2 linked regions of the Drosophila melanogaster genome follow. The protein of the gene in region 1 purifies or fractionates together with the protein of each later gene. This does not show direct contact. Each region holds a gene or a part of one and is shown in the gene's direction. Other genes may lie near its edges.

What was found.
Region 2: the proteins of mts (region 1) and mei-S332 purify together in Drosophila melanogaster (affinity purification with mass spectrometry; 3 studies listed by BioGRID, with this or other methods). This does not show direct contact.

What each region holds. Positions count from the first base shown.
Region 1 is NT_033779.5:7,825,583-7,833,687, forward strand, and holds mts (microtubule star), read left to right. Parts: upstream 1-2,067; 5' UTR 2,068-2,469; coding exon 2,470-2,571; intron 2,572-4,879; coding exon 4,880-5,443; intron 5,444-5,886; coding exon 5,887-6,077; intron 6,078-6,151; coding exon 6,152-6,224; 3' UTR 6,225-7,994; downstream 7,995-8,105. Other genes in the region: Rack1 (receptor of activated protein kinase C 1), read right to left, coding at 119-754, 1,188-1,399, 1,479-1,587.
Region 2 is NT_033778.4:22,120,098-22,124,963, forward strand, and holds mei-S332 (meiotic from via salaria 332), read left to right. Parts: upstream 1-2,003; 5' UTR 2,004-2,103; exon of another isoform or gene 2,104-2,465; intron 2,466-2,805; 5' UTR 2,806-2,900; coding exon 2,901-3,377; intron 3,378-3,438; coding exon 3,439-4,167; 3' UTR 4,168-4,270; downstream 4,271-4,866. Other genes in the region: GM130 (golgi matrix protein 130 kD), read right to left, coding at 4,663-4,866. UniProt on the Drosophila melanogaster protein: Plays a central role in chromosome cohesion during meiosis and mitosis by preventing premature dissociation of cohesin complex from centromeres after prophase, when most of cohesin complex dissociates from chromosomes arms.

The sequences.
Region 1 (8,105 bases):
AGCCTAAAGTTAAAACTAATTCAGCCGCTACAAGATACACAAATTTCAGTTAAGGACGCTTAAATTTTATTTTTGTTTTAGCTAAACAAATTTGACGCCCGTTACAAAGGTCAGTAGCTTAGTGAGCCGAAACAGACACCTGCCAGACGCGGATGGTGTTGTCGGAGTAGCCGGCGAACAGAGTCTGGCCGTCGGTGGACCAGGCCAGGGACAGGCACTGGGGCTGATCGGCCTTCGACGTGGGCGAAACGACCTCGGGGCGCAGCTCCTCAACGGTCTTCTTGCATGCCAGATCCCAGATCTTGATCGAGGGTCCGTAGGCCACGCACAGCCAGTAGCGGTTGGGCGAGAAGCACAGGGCGTTGATGATGTCGTTGTGCTCCAGAGTGTACAGGTTCTTGCCGTCATTGAGGTCCCACAGCAGGGCCTTGGAGTCCTTGCCACCTGAGGTGCACAGGGAGCCATCGGGCGAGACGGTCACCGTGTTCAGGTAGCCGTTGTGGCCGTGGTGGTTGTTCTTCAACTTGCAGTTAGCCAAGTTCCAGACCTTGACGGTGCGATCCCAGCCGCAGGACACGATGATCGGGTTGGAGTGGTTGGGCGAGAAGCGCACGCACGACACCCAGTCGGTGTGGCCATCCTCCTGGATGGTGAACTTGCACTCAGCCAGGGTGTTCCACAGCTTGATGGTCTTGTCCCGAGAGCCGGACACGATCTGACGGTTATCGGCCGAGAAGGCAACCGACAAAACGTCCTAGAAAGCGAACAAGCATTTGACGATTAGCTAATGGTATTGGTATGGTTTTCATAAAAATAATATATTTACTGGATATTTCACTGACCAACTGAATGGGCATAGTCCCAACTCAATTAGTCAGTGAACGGAATCCAGATGGGTTTCTTGCAACTAATTAGGAATCAATGGGTATCAGAGATTGTTTGCCTACTTACGATGGAGCTTCAAGCAATTTATAGCCGAGACTCGAGCGAAGGGTGAAGCGTACGTCGTACAGATGTCAACCAGTAATTCTGCCTCGCATAGGCGCAATATATATTTTTTCGATTTGTACGCGGCAAAGGCGGGCCTAACCTCACTCCTAACCTTACATTTAGCCTTTTGCCGGTACAGATCGGTTCAAAATCTCAGTTCCCTAAACGAACTAAATGCAATTGGAATCTTATCCCACCTTAGTGTGTCCCTCGAAGCGACGGGTGGTCTTGCCGGCGGCCAAATCCCACAGGCGAAGGGTCTGATCCCAGGATCCGGACAGGGCGTAGTTGCCATCGGAGGAGAGCACCACGTCGCTGATGAAGTGCGAGTGTCCGTAGAGACGCTTCTGGGGGTAGCCGTAGTTGGTGTCCTCGTCGCGGGTCAGCTTCCACACGATCAGGGTCTTGTCTGCGAATCGAGATGGTGGCCATTAATATACGCACGTGCTACCAGATAAATCCGAAGAATTTCAATGGCGATTACTTACCACGGGAGGCCGAAATTATGGTGTCGGGATCCTTGGGGTTGGTGGCGATCTGGGTGACCCATCCATTGTGGCCAATGAGGGTACCGCGCAATTGCAGGGTCTCGGACATCTTGAGTTTATATTATTTGCTACGGAGCGCGAAGGAAACACGTCCAAAGGCGCTGCAAGCTGGCAGAAAAAGAGGCAGTTCCGGTTCCAGTGCTCGCTAAGATGCCAACTGTCAGCGAGCGTTCAGTGTTGGACAGGACAAAACTATCGATAGTTTGAATTTTCTGTTACAAATAATACGTGTAAAATGTAACGTCAAATAATAATATCAAAAACTTTAAAATATATATAAAAAAAATAAATACTTTTACACCAAGTATTAATATTATTATATCTAAAGAACCCCAGAAATATTGAAGTTTAGTTTTAAAACAAATTGTGCTATTATTTAAGAAATAATCGACGCTAATGCACATCTATGAAAAGACTACTAAAGGATTTTAAAACAATCCCAATATCTTGTTGCCCAAATGCCTATGTACATACTTTTATTTTGTCACTATCACGTAATAATGTAAAAAAAACGGTGAGCGTTGATCCCACTTTATTTTCTAGTTTTACTTGGTAACTGTTGGCCAAATAGTAAGGATACCATCCACAAGTTTTAGTCGGTATTTTTGTAGAAATGTCAAGCATGCATCGCTAATCGATACACACACACACAGCGCGTTCTTAAGCGTTTCGCGGCAATCGGTCACACCGAGGGCAGTCTTTCCCTTCGTATATCGTGTCGTCGTCTCTTTTGTGAACAAAAAATACGAAGAAAATCGCCCAAATCGAGTTGATTCGATTGGCAATTGTGTGGAGATAAACGAGTGAATACGCGGTTGGCAATCGAACGCAACAGTAGTTGCTAATTTTCCTGCACCCCTGAGTTATAATAAAAGCCGTCAAAATTGAATCGACAAAGATTGACGAGACTTTTTCTTCCACCACAACTGCGATGGAGGATAAAGCAACAACAAAAGATCTTGATCAATGGATTGAGCAGTTGAACGAATGCAATCAGTTGACAGAGACACAAGTTCGCACCCTCTGCGACAAGGTAAGGCCCGGTCCTTGCCCATTTTCCCCATGCGAATTAGGAGATGTTATAAAAATAATTTTCGTCATTGCATGCGAGCGAGCGATTTTTTTTTGCAAATGGTGCTCCAACGCTGCGTGTCTCTGGCCCTCTCGCTCTTTCCAATGGGGAGAGGCGCTGAGCGGAGAGCGCGAGAGCATGATTCATGTCGTGCCCTCTTGCTCGCACAGTAGCGGCGGCTTGCGTCGCCATATTGGAATATTGGTAAATTCCAACAGCCAAGCGCCGCATTGCCGCGCACAAGTGCGAGCGGGACAACGGGACGGGCAAGTGCGTGCGTGAATGCGACAGCTAGAACAGCGCTTTGGTCTAATGGGCTAAACCTGGGCAAAAAGAGATATTTCTTTTTGTATTATTGTACAATTTGATTGTTTAACTAAAGTGCATTGTGCGTGTTTAATGTTGTTGTTATTGTGTCCACCGGAAACTGAGCACCCCCGCTCCGTGCAACCTCATGCGCGTTTTGTCGTTGCTGAGTAAATATTACTTAATGTTTTTGTGCGTCGGTGTGTGCGCGCCCCTAGAATATGTATCTATGTACCGTCGTATCTCAATTCTAGAATAATGCACTTGCATTGGTGTTTGTGTTCCTTTTTTTATGACCAACCATGTTCAATTAAACACTTTTGATATCAATTGTTTTTAATTTGCCGATTTTACCGTTCATCAGGCGCGTCGCGCACACAAACAAACAGACAAGCAAAAAGAGTGCAAGAGAGGGAGAGAAAAAGAGAGGGTGAACAGATAACGATTCATTGATTTAGGAGTAAGTGGGGTTATGTTTGCGTCACCCAAATATTTGTCAGTGTTCCCATTAGAATCTTGAATCTCCGTTCTCCCTCCGAGAAGAACGTTCTTCGCTCTTCTCGGGTGCGTCTTCTGCGGCCTCTCTCCATCCTTCCCGTTGCTACGAAAAGAAAAGCGGAGAGTACGCGGAGAGAGCACAAGCTGCATCAGTGTTTGTGCATGCATCTGTATGGGTGCGCTGGCCTCGTCATGAGTTCAAAAATTATTTTTCTTTTTTTTTTTTTTTCGATTTCTGGCCAAGCGGAAGCAACAGCCTCCAAGGTAATGCTGTGCATATGGCAAAAAATCTAATTGGCTCACGCACAAATCGCTCATTTGCGCCGCCGGATTCTACCCCCGGAACTTGTTGTCATGTCCCATTTCGTCAGCTGATAAATATAAGAATTCGCAAAGAACACGGCGGAATGGTCAAAATAAATGTGCAATTTTTGTTTGCTCATTTTGGCACATTTATGTTTGTAAAAACCGGTTTTTTTGATGCTGTATATTGACGCCCATCGGGAATTTTTGAATCGACCTTCATATTTTATTTTACTAAAGACGATAGAATACTTTCCAGAATCGTGAATTTGTTATGTTTATACGGACAACTTTTTATCGTACGTTCATCTTATCTCAACTTATTAAAAAGCTTTGCTTCCTTTGTTTTGATTTTCATACAGCTTATATTAGCAACTTAAACTTGTTTGCAACTGACGCAAAATTCGATGAGAAAATAGTTGAGGTTCTTCGCTTGTTGACCAAATCTTGACGGATAACCTTGGCCTTTGACAAGGTTTTATCATCCGCACATGCGGATCACTTTCGGTTTTCTCAGTACTTTCTGTTTCGCAGATATTCTGTCATGTCATTCACCATTCACCGAATTATGGCAGGTGAAAAAATAGAACATCAAAGTTTCCATATTACTTTCATTTGGTTAACTATTTACACACAAACGTAACAAAAATGTTTTGTAATTTCCGGAAATTTTGCTACATGTTTATGTTTTTCTTATAGGAAGTAGCAATGTTTAGGTACACAGTTTTATAGGGTTTTGCGGGAAGCTATTTTCAGAATTACCCAAGAGATTGAGTTTTGATGCCATTAAAATTTCTTGTGGGATGTTTAAAGAGAACAAGTGATATTTATTTCCCTCGATTCTCTGTAAAAAAACGCATGCACTTATCCAATATATTTGTTTTAATTTCTCTTCTAGTTACAAGCTATTTTTAGAGTACACTTTGAGTGTTGGCGTTGAGTCATTAAGTATAGTGAATAATGTACAAAGTACTAATCGTTTTATTTATCTTTTCTGACCCTGGAAACGATTTGGGCTAGATTATGTTAATCAGTATTTTAATATTGGTATTCAAAGTTGTTTATTCGGTTATTCGAATAGGGAGGTAACATTAAAACGTATCTCCCTAAAAATATCCATAAATAAATTGCTGATTGGTCTACTGTTTCCATTTCTTTACAGGCCAAGGAGATTCTCTCCAAGGAGTCCAATGTGCAGGAGGTAAAATGCCCGGTGACAGTGTGCGGAGATGTCCACGGTCAGTTTCACGACCTCATGGAGCTCTTCCGGATAGGCGGCAAGTCTCCGGACACCAACTACCTGTTCATGGGCGACTACGTGGACCGTGGATACTACTCCGTGGAGACCGTGACCCTTCTGGTGGCCCTGAAGGTTCGCTATCGCGAGCGCATCACCATCCTGCGCGGTAACCACGAGTCGCGCCAGATCACACAGGTGTACGGCTTCTACGACGAGTGCCTGCGCAAGTATGGCAATGCCAACGTTTGGAAGTACTTCACGGATCTGTTCGACTACTTGCCACTGACGGCACTCGTCGACGGGCAGATCTTCTGCCTGCACGGAGGCCTCAGTCCCTCGATCGACAGTCTGGATCACATTCGGGCCCTCGATCGCTTGCAGGAGGTTCCGCACGAGGGTCCCATGTGCGATCTGCTCTGGTCCGATCCCGATGACAGGGGTGGCTGGGGAATCTCGCCTCGTGGCGCCGGTTACACCTTTGGCCAGGTGAGTGTTGTCTGCATGTTGGCTATTTCTCAATAAAATTCGGAGCTGATTTGCCTAGCTTGGATACTTGGAAATTTATTCTTTAATCACATTGTAAAATTGTTAAGTGAAATACATCTGAAGACCCGATTAAAACTAAGCTGAACAAAAATTGTCTGCTCAAAAGCATGCAAATATATTCTAGATAAATTTTTTATTGATCTTAATAGGAAATTTTATCGGGGCATGCACTTGATGAAAATCAATAATCAGTAATCGAAGTCTACTGCTGATATAGGCCCAACTGATAACGCAATCAATGGAAAGAGCTTTCGTTATAAATTGTTTTGACATTTCAAACCGTCAACTACAAAACAAATTTTAACTATCCAAATCGAATTTCATTGAGAAAGAGCCAATTACTTCTATAAGCATTTTTACTAATATTTCCATTTTATTTGAAGGATATTTCGGAAACCTTTAACAACACAAACGGCCTGACACTGGTGTCGCGCGCCCATCAGCTGGTGATGGAGGGCTACAACTGGTGTCACGATCGCAATGTGGTCACAATATTCTCAGCGCCAAACTATTGCTACCGCTGTGGCAACCAAGCGGCTCTTATGGAACTGGATGATTCACTTAAATTTTCATTGTGAGTGGCAATTCGCTTGAGCTGCCTTTAAATGCGGCATGTCTGACTAATCTAATCGTTTGCATTTATTTTAGCCTACAATTTGATCCAGCACCCAGGCGCGGGGAGCCTCATGTTACGCGAAGAACACCCGATTATTTCCTTTAAGCTGGATTGCTCGCACCTACGCAGCTTACATTTACACATATTACATCGCATTATAACAACAAGAAGAACCGAAACAATATATAATATATACAAATCCAACCAGCAGCAACAAAATAAACAAAATGGCAAGTGCTGTCGAAAAAAAAACTACCATAAAAAACAACCCAAAACTAAAAACCTCGATGCATTTGTTTTGTGGAGGTCGTTTTAAACAGAGAGCAGTGGAAGAGATATTGTATAAACAAAGAAAAAAAAAGTAACCATAACAGTCGAGAACACAAAAATGCATTGAACAGTTATTGTTGTTGGCCACAGTTTAAAAGAAAAGGAAAAAACCGGAAATGTCGCCAGCGGGGGCGGCAGGCAGAAAATTTATATCAAAGATAAAGGGGAGGAGCAGAAGGAGAAGCAGTATACAGAAATGATACAATCCAATCGAACCTACCAACCAACCCAGAAACCAAGCAACAAAACCGCAAGCAACAAGAAGAACTACAACTACTTAGCTAAATTTGTTAATTTATAAAAATAACGAACTAAGCGTCGCAGCAGAAAGCCAGGGAGCAGGAGTGATGGATGGATGGACTCATGGATTATGACGTGATGTGTGTGTGGGCGGAAGGGGCTGACAAAGGACTAAACGGGACGAAAGGACGAACGCCAGGACGTAGCAGCATAAGCAAGCAGCAGCGGTAGCAGCAGCAGAAGCAGAAGCAGACGACCCACGACCGACAAAGCAGGAAGATAACGATGAAGCAGCAGCAAAAAAGTAGGAGCAGTATGTGGCAGGAGCAGCAGCGAACGCCATTGCGATGGGGGAAGCGCGGGGCGGGCCAGCGATTTATATAAAAACAAAAATTATAAAAAAGAAAATAAGGAAATACAACAAATTTAATATTACTGATTAAAATTAAATAAAAAAAAGCGAATAAAACTATTAAAAAACAAACAAAAAAGCAAAGAAAAATGATTAAAAAAAATTCATTATCAATTAAGTTCATATGTAACTTTAATAATAATAAAAGAAAGAAAAAAAAAACAAACAAACAATTCCCACCTGCCGACGAAGAGAGCCATCGAAGAGCGCGCGTTCAAGGGAGAAAGTCCTTTAAGAGAGACCCATGCGAACGATTTTGGTTTTTCGTTCTGGCAATGACGCTCCCTTTTGGCCTGCGGGCTCCTTTGGTAGTGTGTATGCGAACATGGCCAAGTTAACACGAGGCCACCACGACGAGCGGAAGTCGAGCCTCAAACGGGCCACCTAATTGAGACCACAAAGGAGGCGATATGGGTGTGGGGGAGGTGATATATGGATGGATGGCAGAGGGCAGATAGAAGGGACGGAGGTCGTGGTGCCAGCCAACCAATGATGCCCAAGTCAAAATCTAAATCAGAGCCGGGCTGCCTTTGATTCCCAGCGAAAGCGAAAGCAAAAATCTTGCCAACTTTGTATAAATTTTTGCATATTTTAGCAGCCGCCCACACGAACTGTCAAAAGTCATGTACAGTGGTCGCTCTCTATTGTTTCTGTTTACAAAGTATTTTGGAAACTATTTCGATTGGATTTGATGTTCCTGATAATTTAGTTGGTTATTTAACTTTAGCATACGAATGAAAAGTATATTAAGAGCAAGAAAGTAAACGATATATAAATAATAAACATTTGGCAATAGTAGAAACCCTAGAATATATGGATTATTCTGAGATAAGCAGTTCGTGCACCGCCAGTTGGCACTGTATCCACATGAGTTTTGGTCTGGATGAAAATCTAAATTTGAGAACATGCTGGATCGAGGATGGGGACTCTCAAGTGCCCAAGAACTTGGCGAGCAAACAACCATACCCATACGTACACCTACCGAGACTTGTCATCTATCATGC
Region 2 (4,866 bases), on another chromosome or scaffold:
GGCTCGAAACTGTAGTCAGAAATCGGTGTGCTGGAGAGCTCACTGTAGTTTTATGATTCAGTTCCAGGTTGCACAAGGAAGTGCAGCATAATTCAGCGTCATAAAGGCTGACAGAAACGACCGACTCTCTCTCTCTACTACGTGCCAATCAGACCTCGTGTGATGCAGTGCTCGAAAAATGCACGACAGCCAATTCGACTGACAAATGGCCGCACACAAGGCCGACAAGTGCCCACTCCCCGTGGCCATAAAACCCCATATCCACACCCCGTGCCCCACACACCTTCACCTCCACCCTCCCTTCAATCACCAGTCTTTGCGTGTGTCACTGCAGCAGCACTCGATATTTCTGTGTGTACTTGCAGTGGGGCATGCACAACAGCCTCGACAATAGACCGGCAGCAGGCAGACTCCTGGACGGGATGCCATGGAATGGGACGTTGGGATGGGTCGGTGCCATGTGCCCACCGCTGCCATGGCCTACGCCACGCCAATGACATTGAACCCGGCGACTGGGACGACCCTTTGTGCCATGCATAGCATTACGGAAAGGAGCTCGAAGCCCATTCACACTTGTGGATGGTTTAAAGAGCGCACTAAATTGGCCACGAGGGTTATTTTCGGTACAGAGAAAAGAAATTACTTATAACAACTTCTATAGTCTTGTATTTCAATGTTTTGATATCTGTTTTCCACCATCGCAGAGTAGTAAAGCATTTTAGAAATGAGAATATAAACAAGACGTTCCTCGACTATCAGATATTCGTTGCTCAGCTAATGGGAGTGCTGGACAACTGGAACCCGGACACCGGTACCACGACACCAGAAGTTGCACGCTTAAGCTAAAACTTGTGACTAACTCTACAAGTAATAAATCTAATGTAAAGATTGCGATTGTATGCCTCTTCAAATGGCTATAGTAAGAGCCCAGATTATGTCATACCATCGAAGTTCAACCGCCACAATTCGCACTCACATCGCTGAAGGGAGCCAAGCGAATGAATCAACCCCTAGTCAGCGAATTTAGTTTTCGTCGGCCGTCGAGCAATGCACTCTTTGTAGGTCAGTTATGGGGTGGCATGGGTGGCCACATGCTCCATGGGTCTTCGCTGGTGTTGCAACACTTGGTGTCGTCATGCGTCGCGTGCCCGGGCGTTTTGCTTAATGTGATTAAGACAAAGCGACAACAAACCAAAACAAAGTGCATTCGCTGACGGAACAGGAGAAAATCAAAGCGACCCGAGTTTATTGCACCCCTTTTAGCCGGTTAGACGGTGGAAAAGGCTTTTCGTGTTCTCCGACACAGGAAAAAATAAATTTCATGCAAGCTCAAATATTAAATCAAATCGGGCAAGACATGGACTGTCGGCTATACTTAGAATATATGCAAATAATGGTGATTAATCTGGAATATGGACATATGAATAAATATTATAAAAAGTCTAAATACAGCTGCCTACTAACGCTGGTATGTGTTTGTTTATTGTGTACCTCGAGGCTATAAGATATAGCCCCATATCTTGGAAAATGCAATTTTACATACACACAACCATTAGTCGCAAATATCGTGGCGAAATTGTCGGAGGGCGCGATAAGATAATTGCCTACATGGAACTGGTACCGAAGAGGTTCCTGAACTTGCCATAAATTACCAAATTTCTGGGCACCGTGCGAAATAGAATTGATAAGGTCGCTCGATAAGTCCGTACCACTTCGGATTCTGAGTGCTGAGTGATGCACTCAATCGACTAAATGGGTACAAAGCCAAACGAGTTGGATTTACAAACAGACTCACCTTGAAGCGGGTTTCGGTTTTCGACTGCGGTCGTAGCTTCTGTGAATGAAATTCTCGGTTCTCTGGGCTGCTGGCTGTCTTCGGTGTTTCAGCAGGTGATTGTCGTGATTCTCTGGCGGAGATGAAACAGCATAGCAAGCGGTTCCCTAATGTATTTTTCCGAAACTATGGTGTATAATCCGTATCCGTGTTCCTAAGTTAAGTTAATCCGCGCGCTAGATCCGTCTATCGTTTTTCGAGTGCACAGGTGTTGCATGTGATGTGTATCGTGTCCTGTGAGTGCGGGGGGAAAGTCCCTCCCACTGTTGGTAAGAATTGTAGAAATGTGTAAAAGCCTGGCTAAATGCCTAAAAGACGTACAACGACGATACAAATCCGACTGATTTTCATTTTTACACAAACACACGCACACTGCGACAGCACACTCTCACTCACGTACACGCACGCACACACTGCCAGGTGGGCTGACTTCTGATTCAGTGCGATTTTCGCGTTCTGCAAGGTGTATCTACAACCTCCCGAAACGCGTATTCACTTCGATTTCCGGGTTCTAGCGCTGCAGCATTGTTTATCTACCACGGATATCCAGATTTTCTTCGCAATCGGTCGAGAAAACAATAAATTTATTGTGCAGCTTAGAGGTGTAAGAGAAACATAGACGTATCGATGTCTCTCGATGGTTTGTGCCTATCGAAATCGGTGTCCCGCAATATACACAGCTTCCACTAAGCGAAATTTTAGCATTTTGGCATACGTGTAGAATTTAAATGGAAAATTACCCTTGGTAACGCATGTACGATCAAATTCGCACCAACTCAACGGTTCCTAATTCTTGTCGTGCAAATGAGACAAACAAATTTATAATTATTAAAATAAAATATATTCACATCGGATTGTATTGTTTCTTATATATATGGCCCAAAATTAAAGAATTTCATTTTAATTAAGAGCATGGTCGGCGTTGCCATACTTTCAAAAAGTTTTCCTTAAGCTGGGGTATATTCCAATAGCACAACAACGGTCACTCTATTTCAAAATTCAAAACAAGCTATTGGCGTCGTCTGTCTGGATTTTGTGTATGGAATAAGTAGATCAGAAGAAGCAAATGGGATCCAAAGTGGAGCAGCAGTACAAGCTGCTGAATGCGGAGCTAATGGACCAAGTGCAGAAGCAGCGCTTGGAGATCGGCGAGTACAGGAAGCGGGTGATATCTTTGGAGCGAGAGATCATGGACATTCGGGAGGAGCACGTCCTGCAAAACCATCGCCAGCGCATGGAGAACATCAGTATCGTACGCAGCCTGATGCTGAGCCTGAACGTGGACTCCGATTCCCTGGCAGTGCGTCAGGAGCCCGCTCCCGCAGCTCAGATAAACAGACCAAGCGGCCCGCGTCGCAGCTCCAGGGAAATCTGCAAGGACATGCGACGGACGTGTGCGTTGGCCCGCACCACCAGACCAATCTCGCCAAGAAGATCTTCCTCAGTGACCAGTACTGTATCGTCCACTAGTCGCCGCTCCAGCGCAGAAGTGCAGTCCGAGGTGGTGACCACTAGGATACCAGAGGATAGAAGAGCCAACAAGGTAACTTATACTTAAATTTGATTATGCTTTTCTTAACGATTCATTATCGGCTTGAGTACAGCCTACACCACCGCCACGAAGACCAGCGGAATTAGTGTTTGATGAGGACGACTCGGACGATGATTTCGACGAAGCAGTAAGCCCCGTGGAGGAGACACAGACTGAGCAAAATGAAGAGAACAATCGTCTGTTTAGCATTATAGAGGAAAATGGCAGTGAAGGGGAGTCCACAGACTCGTCATCATCATGCGAGGCCATCTATTGCGACACAACGTTTGAAAGTAGTCCGCCAAACGCCCAAGTCACCGTCACGCCCAGTGGACGGGCTCTGCGGGAAGTGGACACCAATATCCCTGTAGCAGTGTCCCTCAGTCGGGGAAAAGAGACTGGGAAGGGATCATGGTTGGCTATTTCCGTAGCTGTGGAAGATTCTCCACAGGAGCCAAGCATACAGTGCCCACGACTGGCAGTCACCAGGCCTAGTCAATCGTCTGGAATATTTCCTGATGTCAACGGATTAACGCCGCGAAGAAGCCTGTTCAATGGGATAGGCAAAATGGCCGGAAGCACCAGCACTCCGAAATCCTTTCTCGTCGAGGAAATGCCATCTATAAGAACTAGAAGCCGAACTGCGGCTAATAAGAAATCAGAAAATACGGATATGTCTAGTTCTTTCTGCAACAACAGCGCAAGGCCGAGTAGAAGCTGCAGGCCCACCAGTTTGGTGGAGCCAAGTCTGAAGAACAAGTTGCGCAATGGCTCGAAAGGCAAGGCCAAGGCCAAAAAGTAGATAGACGAATTTTTTAATAGGCTTTAATGTTGTTTCTGTAATTTCATTGGTTTTCAATACCACTTTTTACCATTTTTAATATGAATAATATTTTTAAATCGTCAGGCCCTGATAAGTTTAATTTATAGACTAAAAGCTGACATCGGATTACTTTTTGCCTGCAATAGAGGGCATATTCAGTTCATCCAGCGCTATCGGAAGGAAGACACTCCATCATCATCATCACCCAAAGATGCCAATAGGAATTTAAAAGTACGTCTAATTTTTACATGTTCATTTGTGAATAAAACAACGTTTCAATTAATTATTTGTTAATACGCTTTTAGGGGAACTCATTTTATAGATTCCTCTTAGATGCAAACTACGTTTATTCGCACAAAGTTGTTGGAAACATTTACAAAAGACTCTGAAGAACAAAGTACAATTACAATTACAATTAAATACAGTAGCAAAAGGGTAATGATTATACGTAGGTAGGCGATAATTGCACTTCTTTTAGACTACCTCGAACTTGCCCATACAACAGTTGAGATGGTCTCCTGCATGGTTGTGGCTTGGCTGCTCCGTGTTCTCCTTGATCTCGCTGATAATGTCCTGTATCTTGTTGATGATCTGTTGCGAGTTTTCACCTTCGCCAGGAGTGTGTTCGCTACCTGCGGCCGCTTCTGGTTGCTTTGCCTGGGCGGCATCTGCGGGTAG